3 linked regions of the Macaca mulatta genome follow. The protein of the gene in region 2 interacts with the protein of the main gene of each other region in a biochemical or structural test. Links are inferred from orthologs where the notes say so. Each region holds a gene or a part of one and is shown on either strand. Other genes may lie near its edges.

What was found. The genes of interacting proteins can lie anywhere in the genome.
Region 1: the proteins of IRF4 (region 2) and STAT6 form a complex in vitro, tested with the Homo sapiens proteins (2 studies listed by BioGRID). The link is inferred for Macaca mulatta from reciprocal best matches to the Homo sapiens genes IRF4 and STAT6.
Region 3: the proteins of IRF4 (region 2) and SPI1 are reported together in a solved structure, tested with the Homo sapiens proteins (2 studies listed by BioGRID, with this or other methods). The link is inferred for Macaca mulatta from reciprocal best matches to the Homo sapiens genes IRF4 and SPI1.

What each region holds. Positions count from the first base shown.
Region 1 is NC_133416.1:64,257,781-64,261,434, reverse strand, and holds part of STAT6 (signal transducer and activator of transcription 6), read left to right. Parts: intron 1-60; coding exon 61-148; intron 149-294; coding exon 295-417; intron 418-1,953; coding exon 1,954-2,046; intron 2,047-2,378; coding exon 2,379-2,585; intron 2,586-3,654. UniProt on the Homo sapiens protein: Carries out a dual function: signal transduction and activation of transcription. Involved in IL4/interleukin-4- and IL3/interleukin-3-mediated signaling.
Region 2 is NC_133409.1:182,855,467-182,857,798, forward strand, and holds the end of IRF4 (interferon regulatory factor 4), read right to left. Parts: intron 803-2,332; coding exon 659-802; 3' UTR 558-658; downstream 1-557. UniProt on the Homo sapiens protein: Transcriptional activator. Binds to the interferon-stimulated response element (ISRE) of the MHC class I promoter. Binds the immunoglobulin lambda light chain enhancer, together with PU.1.
Region 3 is NC_133419.1:18,241,077-18,244,730, reverse strand, and holds part of SPI1 (transcription factor PU.1), read right to left. Parts: intron 2,850-3,654; coding exon 2,687-2,849; intron 1-2,686. UniProt on the Homo sapiens protein: Pioneer transcription factor, which controls hematopoietic cell fate by decompacting stem cell heterochromatin and allowing other transcription factors to enter otherwise inaccessible genomic sites.

The sequences.
Region 1 (3,654 bases), on a different chromosome or scaffold from region 2:
GCGTCGCCACAGCTGGCCACAGTGAGATGAGCTTGTTCACACTCTGACCTCCCCTGGCAGAGAAAGCACTGGAGAAATCATCAACAACACTGTGCCCTTGGAGAACAGCATTCCTGGGAACTGCTGCTCTGCCCTGTTCAAGAACCTGGTGAGGGGCTTTGGGGTGCAGTGGGCAGTGAGGGGGGCACCACTAGGAGACTATGGGACTCTCCTTGGAGAGGATGTCGGGAAGCCCAAGAGGAGCGGTCTCTGTCCTCATGCACTCGCCCTTGCTCTCCCTCACCCCACCCACAGCTTCTCAAGAAGATCAAGCGGTGTGAGCGGAAGGGCACTGAGTCTGTCACAGAGGAGAAGTGCGCTGTGCTCTTCTCTGCCAGCTTCACACTTGGCCCCGGCAAACTCCCCATCCAGCTCCAGGTGAACTGTGGCCCAGCCCTACCCCAATCTGGGACCCCGAGTCCTTCTCTAATGCCACACACAGGGTCCCTGGACCCTCACCTCCTGTGACTGCCCCATACCCCATGTGTCTGGGATTCATGCACACTGGGGCCCGGGTGAGTGGGGTGAAGCAAGAACATGGAGCGCACGGGGCAGGGAATGGTAGCGGATAGCAGCAAACACTTAGGAAGCACTTCCTATAGACCAGGTCTCTCTATTAAATGATACACACACACATGTGTGCCAGCACACACACGTTTGGTTTTCACAGTAACATTATGAGGTAGGCAGTATTATCAGCCTCATTTTATAGATAAGGACATTGAGACACAGTTTAAGTAGTTTGTCCCAGTCACACAGCTAAGTGTTGGAGCTGGTATTTGAAACCTGGAGGTCTGGCTCCATAGCAGTGACTCATAACCACTTCTCTAGAGTGAGGCCCTAACTGAGCTTCAGAAAACTTTTAATAACATGGCATGAACTTTTTGATTATGATGTGTGAGTCCAGTAACTTCTCTGAGTGCTCAGAGCCAGCCCCCTGAGGAAACTTCTTGCTTTATTAAGAAACCCCTGTCCAGCTGGGCGTGGTGGCTCACGCCTGTAGCCCCAGCACTTTGGGAGGCCTGTAGCCCCAGCACTTTGGTAGCTCCGGAGGTCAGGAGTTCAAGACCAGCCTGGCCAATATGGTGAAACCCCGTCTCTACTAAAAATAAAAAAATTGGCCGGGCGCAGTGGCTCACGCCTGTAATCCCAGCACTTTGGGAGGCCAAGGTGGGCAGATCACAAGGTCAGGAGATCAAGACCATCCTGGCTAACACGGTGAAACCCCATATCTACTAAAAATACAAAAAATTAGCTGGGCGTGGTGGTGGGCACCTGTGGTCCCAGCTACTTGGGAGGCTGAGGCAGGAGAATGGCGTGAACCCAGGAGGCAGAGCTTGCAGTGAGCCGAGATCGCGCCACTGCACTCCAGCCTGGGTGAGAGTGAGACTCCGTCTCAAAATAAATAAATAAATAAATAAATAAATTAGCTGGGTGTGGTGGTGCAGGCCTGTAGTCCCAGCTGCTCAGGAGGCTGAGGTAGGAGAATCGCTTGAACCCGGGAGGCAGAGGTTGCAGTGAGCTGAGATCACGCCTCTTCACTTCAGCCTGGGTGACAGAGCAAGACTCTGTCTCAAAAAAAAAAAATTCTTAGCACTTTGGGAGGCCAAGGTAGGAGGATTGCTTGAACCTGCAAGTTTAAGACCAGCCTGGGCTACATAGGGAGATCCAATCTCTATAAAAAATAAAAACTTAGCTGGATTAGGTGGTCCATACCTGTAGGTCCAGCTATTCAGGAGGCCGAGGTGGAAGGATCACTTGAGCCCTGGAGGCTGAGGCTGCGGTGAGCTGAGATTGTGCTACTGCAGTCCAGCCTGGGCAACAGAGTGAGATACTATCTTAAAAAAAAAAAAAAAAAGGAAAGAAAGAAAGAAAGAAAGAAAGAAAAGAAACCCCTGTCCTCACCCTCTTCAGGCCCTGTCTCTGCCCCTGGTGGTCATCGTCCATGGCAACCAAGACAACAATGCCAAAGCCACCATCCTGTGGGACAATGCCTTCTCTGAGATGGTGAGGAAATTCCTGGAGTTGGAGGGAACAGGGGCAGGGTGGGTTCTAATATGGGCAGTGGTGCAGGCCTGTTGATGGGGTGGCAGGCATGTTTAAATGGGTGTGACCTTAACACCTTCTCATGGGCCTACTTTCGTACTTCTGACCTCTTTTCACCCCAGTCTTAACAACTATCAGGCCACAGCACTGTAACCTAGAAAAAACAGCATGTTCGTGAGCGATATCAGGTGCTGTGGATGGGCAGGCCATAGGCAGGTGGGAGGGATGAAGGCCGGCCTGAGGAAGAACAAGACGGTAGCCTCTGATGCTCTCTTCTTCCCCCTTCTCCTCAGGACCGCGTGCCCTTTGTGGTGGCTGAGCGGGTGCCCTGGGAGAAGATGTGTGAAACTCTGAACTTGAAGTTCATGGCTGAGGTGGGGACCAACCGGGGGCTGCTCCCAGAGCACTTCCTCTTCCTGGCCCAGAAGATCTTCAATGACAACAGCCTCAGCATGGAGGCCTTCCAGCACCGTTCTGTGTCCTGGTCACAGTTCAACAAGGTCATTCTCCTGCCCTTTGGACCTCCCACCCCCAAGCTCTTCATGCCTCAGGCACTCAGGGCCTGCTCAGCCTCCACGCAGGGACCTTCCGCTGGAGTCTCCACAGTGCCCTCTCAGGTCCTTTAGGAAGGCCTGTCATGGACCAGGGAGGAAAAACCCCAGGTCTGGGGGTTGGCTCCAGAGATGCATTCTCTGACATCCCTGTGGTTTTGGTCTGGGGGTCATCTGTCCTTTCTCTTTACCAGCGACTTGCATGACTCACCCAGGTTGTGTGTAAACAGAGCTCTGATTCAAAGTGACTTTGACCCATTGGAAAAATTGTTCCTGGCTGGGCACAGTGGCTCATGCCTGTAATCTCAGTCTTTGAGATGCCGGGGTGGGCGGATCACCTGAGGCCAGGAGTTCGAGACCATCCTGGCCAACATGGTGAAACTCCATCTCTACTAAAAATACAAAAATTAGCCAGTTGTGGTGGCACATGCCTGTAATCCCAGCTACATGGGAGGCTGAGGCAGGAGAATCACTTGAACCCGGGAGGCGGAGGTTGCAGTGAGCTGAGATCACACCGCTGCACTCAAGCCTGGGTGACAGCGCAAGACTGTTTCAAAAAAAAAAAAAAAAGGGGGGCCAGGCATGGTGGCTCATGCCTGTAATCCCAGTACTTTGGGAGGCCGAGACGGGTGGATCACCTGAGGTCAGGAGTTCGAGACCAGCCTGGCCAACATGGCAAAACCCCGTCTCTACTAAAAACGCAAAAAATTAGCCAGGCATGGTTGTTTGCGTCTGTAATCCAGCTACTCGGGAGGCTGAGGCAGGAGATGAACCCAGGAGGTGGAGACTGCAGGGAAGATCGCACCATTGCACCCCAGCCTGGGCAAGACTCCATATCAAAAAAAAAAGGCCCAGGCTGGCTCACACCTGTAATCCCAGCACTTTGGGAGGCTGAGGAGGGCGAATCACAAGGCCAAGAGATCAAGACCATCCTGGCCAACATGGTGAAACCCTGTCTCTACTAAAAATACAGAAATTACCTGGGCATGGTGGTGCATGCCTGTAGTCCCAGCTACTT
Region 2 (2,332 bases):
CATACATTAATACATTTCTTCTATGTGTGAGGCTTCTTCCGTTTACACCTTACTTCCCTGAGAAATGGTACAGACTCGCCTGCAGTCATCGCTCCAGTCAGTGTCAACACTGAAAGGCAAGTGTTCTCAGTCCTCCAGCAAGACCTAGTCTACATCAAATTAAAGAACACATTTCAGCAAATGTAAACACATCACGGGGTCAGTTTTCACAGTGATCATCAATGATGGCAGTCTACAGAGCGCAAGAAGTGCAAAGCCACCTTCCTTTCGGAATAAGCTCATCTGCCAATCAGATGTCACTGATTTTCCACAGTTGTCTGGCGGCAATTCTCCTCAGCTACTGCACTGAAATCTTCACTTCTGAGTTCCTCAAAACAGCAAGAGGGCAGTCAACTGGATGCTTTCACTAAAGTCAAATATTTACAATGAAAATCGTCTGTGTTGGGTGGGTGCAGTGGCTCACACCTTAATCCCAGCTACCAGGGAGGCTGAGGCAGGAGAGTCTCTTGAACCTGGGAGGCGGAGGTCGCAGTGAGCTGAGATCGTGTCACTGCACTCCGGCCTGGGAGACAGTGCAAGACCCTGTATCAAAAAAATAAAATAAAAAATAAAAATAGAAAAAAAAAAGGAAAAAGAAAACCACTCATCTTGACATTTTTCATTCTTGAATGGAGGAATGGCGGATAGATCTGTGGTAATCTTCTGGATTGCTGATGTGTTCCGGTAAATCGTAGCCCCTCAGGAAATGTCCACTGTTTTGTTGAGCAAAATAATATAATTGTCTGGCGAGCAGAGGTTCTACCTTTAATAAGAGATTTTTAAAAAGACATTACTGAGATATCCCGCAACTGGCTCACTATTAAACAGCACTCAGATTCTAAGCAGACAGTAATGTAAAGCCCAAAGTTACGTCCTAGAACACATCAAAACATTTCATATATGGAGCCATCTAAAGAAGCAATTTTTTTGTTAGTCCTTCCATAGATCAACATGTAAAAAAACAGCCAAAGCTACTTAATTCTGGGTTAAAGATGTTACTTTTAAATCAGCTGCCACTTAAAATGTACATTTAACTAAAACTGAATCAAATCAAGTAAAGTGATTAAATGAAAAGGAAGTCTGAGGTAATCTGCAGGGTAATTTAGGCCAATGATTTTGTTTTTCCACAACTGCAGTTTGAAAGAAACAAGGGCTCATCCTGAATGATTTGATTTCTAGGTAATCGGTATCGTTCTAAACCAGAGGTAAAAGAAATAAAAAGTAAAGTTAAACAACAACAAAACTACTCTTGTGGAAAAAGAGAAGTTAACTGGCCTCAAATTTATCCCGTCTGGTTATTAGCATGAATCACGCTCACCAAAAAACAAAAACACCTTAACGTTCAGCTTTTCCTGAATTTACAGCATCTAAGGCAAGCTGAATGCTCTCCATCAATCACGATATTAAAGTCTATATTTTATATATAGCGACTTAAGCAAAACTCCTGAGTACCTGAAATGAATTAAATTAATAACTTGTAAAAGTGGAACTCATAGGTGTACATGTGTGTTTATTCATTTTACGGATCACACAGCCTCGTCTTCAGGATGACGGGATCATCTGGGGATCCATCTTTCCCTGACTTAGAGGACGGCAACTTCATCCAAGTCACCCTTAAAATTGGATTGATGTATAGCTGAGCTGATCATCAATTTCTTTTGTTTTCTTTTTTTTTTTTTTTCTTGAGACAGAGCCTCACTCTGTCGCCCAGGCTGGAGTGCAGTGGTGCGATCTCGGCTCACTGCAACCTCTGACTCCTGGGTTCAAGTGATTCTCTTGCTTCAGCCTCCTGAGTAGCTGGGATTACAGGTGCGCACCACCACACCTGGCTAATTTTTGTATTTTTAGTAGAGGGGGGGTTTCACCATGTTGGTCAGGCTGGTCTCAAATTCCTGACCGCGTGATCCGCCCACGTCGGCCTCCCAAAGTGCTGGGATTACAGGCGTAAGCCACCGCACCTGGCCGATCATCAACTTCTTAAATGCTGCTTATCTATGCCAAGTTTATTTAGTCATTTAGCAATTCCTGCTGTTAACAACATATCAGTCATGATTTCAACAATCATAGCAATTGTTAAGTCAATCACTGGAGAGAACTCATGAGAAATCCTCAGTCTATGGGATTACACATTGGTTGGTGGGTTGGTCTTTGTTTTTAAAATCAAGAAGGGGGGTTGTATGTTCAAGATTAAACCATGTTTCATTTCAGTTCTCAATGAGAAATAGCATCAGAGCTACAATATGATGGGAATTTTGATGTTAGGGGTGTAAGTTTTACCTGGTATTGCTCACCA
Region 3 (3,654 bases), on a different chromosome or scaffold from region 2:
ACACACGACACACCCACTCAAACTTGCTCACACACACCCACACAATGCACTTGCTCACACCCACACATATGCACACAAACACACCCATTCACTAACATGCCCACACACTGGCACCCACATGACACACCCACTCGCACGCTTGCAGCCACCTGCATGCTCAAACCCACACACTACATCTGCTTACACATTCACAACCCATTCACACCCCACTCACACCCACTCATGCTCACACCTCATTCACACCCACTCACATGCACACAAACACATGCAATGCACCCACTCACATGCACACACACTCAGACCTACTCACACCCCCAGATGCACGGTCACACCCACACAATGCATCTTCTCACACTTATACACATGCCCAGTCACACCCACTCACACATACACCTCACACCAGGTCTCACACACTCATGTGCTCACACGCCTGCTCATACACCTCACACCAGGTCTCATAATCACACCTGTTTATATATGCTTGCACAAACACACACCTGCTTACACATCTCACATTGCTCACCCTCACACCTCACATTGCTAACCCTCACACACACAAGCCTCTGCTCAGCACACGCATGCTTACATACCTCACACCATTCACACACACACCTACCCACTCACACATGGTCACACCTGCCCACACCTGCTCACACACATATTTGCACACACAGACCTCACACACATCACATTACTCACCCACACACATGCCCCTGCTCACACACTTATGCTCACACACACCTCACACCATTCACTCACACACACCCACTCACACTTGCTCACATGCTCACCTGTTCATACAACTCACACTCATACCTCACACTACGTCTCTCACACACACATGCTCACACGCTCATGCTCACAGACATGCTCACACCTCATACATGCTCACACCTCACACACACCCACTCATGCTTACACGTCACACATTCACACCCACTCACATGCTCACACCTCACACATAATCACACCTCACACACATGGTCACATCTCTCAATCACACCCACTCACACACCAGCCCACACATACCCACACACACATGCTCACACCTTATATGCCCACACCTCACACATTCCTGCTCACAGGCTTGCTCACACCTCACAGTTGCTCACACATGCACTCACAATGCTCACACCAGCTCATTCACACCTCATTGACACCTGCTCACTCATATTTCACACCACTTACTTGCACCTCACTCACACCTGCTCACGCATGCACACACATTGTACTCATACACACCCACTTGCATGCTTACACACCTGTTCACACACAACCAGACACCCACTTGCACACTCATGCTCACACACATTCTGCTCTCACACCCACTCAGCAGCTCACACACCTGCTCACAAGCTCACATGTCACATCTGCTCACACCCATTCTCTTGTTTTTGAGACTGAGTTTTGCTCTTATTGCCTAGGCTGGAGTGCAATGGCATGATTTTGGCTCACTGCAACCTCCGCCTCCCGGGTTCAAGCAATTCTCCTGTCTCAGCCTCCCAAGTAGCTGGGATTACAGGCATTCACCACCACGCCCAGCTAATGTTCGTTTTTTTTAGTAGAGACGGGGTTTCGCCATGTTGGCCAGGCTGGTCTCAAACACCTGACTTCAGGTGATCCGCCTGCCTCAGCCTCCCAAAGTGCTGGGATTACAGGCATGAGCCACCATGCCCAGCCCACTCACACCCATTCTCACACACTCATTCATATATCTTCTGTCTCACACACACACGTTCGCACACCTACTCACATGCACACCCACTCACACACCCAGGTGCTCAAGCATGCCCTCACCCCCCACATACACCTGCTCACGCACAAGAACACACACATGCTCACACATGCTAAAACACATATCCACTCACGTACATGCACAAACCTGCTCACATATACAGATACATACTCACACACCCCAGCTCACACCTTCCTGCTCACACACACCTGCTTACATACACCCTCAAACATGTTCACATCCACTCACACATCCACTGACACCTACACACACACGCCCATTCACACACTCACTTATATCACACACATCCCTGCTTATATACACATTCACACACACACTTGCTCACACACCTGTCATACCCCCACTCACACATATCACTCACGCCTGCTCACACCCACTCACATATACCATGCTCACATCCCTGCTCACACACGCATACCCACACAATGCTGACACCCACTGACATGATCATACATGCACACCTCACACACGTGCACACAACCACTCACACACACTGAAATACATTCATATGTTGATACACACAAACATGGCCACACCCACTCTCATCCACACCAGCTCTCACATTCACCTTCTCACACACCCACTCAGCCACTTGCACACATGCACCTGCCTACATCTGTTCACACACACACTCACTCTGCACACTTGCTCACACACACCCAGATCTACACACACTCATGGCACAGAGACATACACACCTGGCACACTTCATGGAGATGCCTGTATGCACTCACAGCAGATACACACACACACACACACATAGAGACGGCCACAGACAGCCCCACAAAACACATACATTGGCAAACATGCACACACACACACACACACGCAACTCGGCGGCATGGCTGCTGGGTCAGTTGGCCTGGCTGGGTGGGGGAGGGCACAGACACAGCCAGGGTTGGGGCCAGGGTGGAGGGCCAGATGCCCCACCTGTCTCCCCAGGCAGGAGCCCAGGCCCAGGCTCCAGGCCGTCCGCCTCGCCGTCAGACACCTCCAGTGGGGGGCTCTGCCGCTCGCCCTCCTCCTCATCTGAGCTGGGCTGGGCTGGGGACAGGGGTGGGTACTGGAGGCACATCCGGGGCAGGTAGGAGACCTGGACGGTGGGGGAAGGAGATCAGAGTCAGGAAGGGCCAGCTTACAGCTCAGAGGGGCTGGGAGGGAGGTTAGCTGGGGAGAGAAGGAGTGCAGAAGGCAGGGGACAATGGCAGGCACAGGAGACTGGAGGAAGGCCAGGGAAAAGTGGGGCCAGTTGAGGCGCTGCACATAGGGTGCAGGCTGTGGGGCCAGGGGTGCTGACATCCAGCCCACCCAGCCCTCCCAGCTGGGCCTCCTGGTTTAGGGCTGTGGGCACCGGGGAAGCGGTGGCTTGCTCCCCTCCCTGCTGAGGTGTTATGTGGGCCCACAGTGGGCTGGTGCTGGGGGCTGGTGCATTGGGTCTGGAAGGGGGTTTGATAGGTGGGGTGATGAGTGGTGGAGGGACCCTGGAGGCCAGTAGGGGTGGTAGAGGTCAGCAGAGGTCACTGATTCAGATTAGGGTCAGTAGGGAGGGTCACTGGGGAGAGGCAGGGTCAGTAGACATGTTCAGTGACTTGGTGTGGGATCCATGAGGGCAAGTGAATGGGGGTGGAAGACAGTGAGGCCCACGAGGGTTCACAACAAGGCGTTGGGGTGGGGAGGCTCGGTGAGGTGCAAGAATTATCTGGGGTCTGTCCATACTCGGGGTGAGATGAGATAAGGGGTGTGGGGTCACGAGGTCACTCGGGGGGTCAGGCAGCAGCCGTTGGGGCTCCAGCCGCCGTTGGCGCTGTGGGGCAGGAAGCCGAGTTGGGTAAGAGCCTGTGTCAGCTTCCTGTGAAGCTCCCGGGCCCCACCACAGGCCTGGCAGTCTCCTGGGGGAC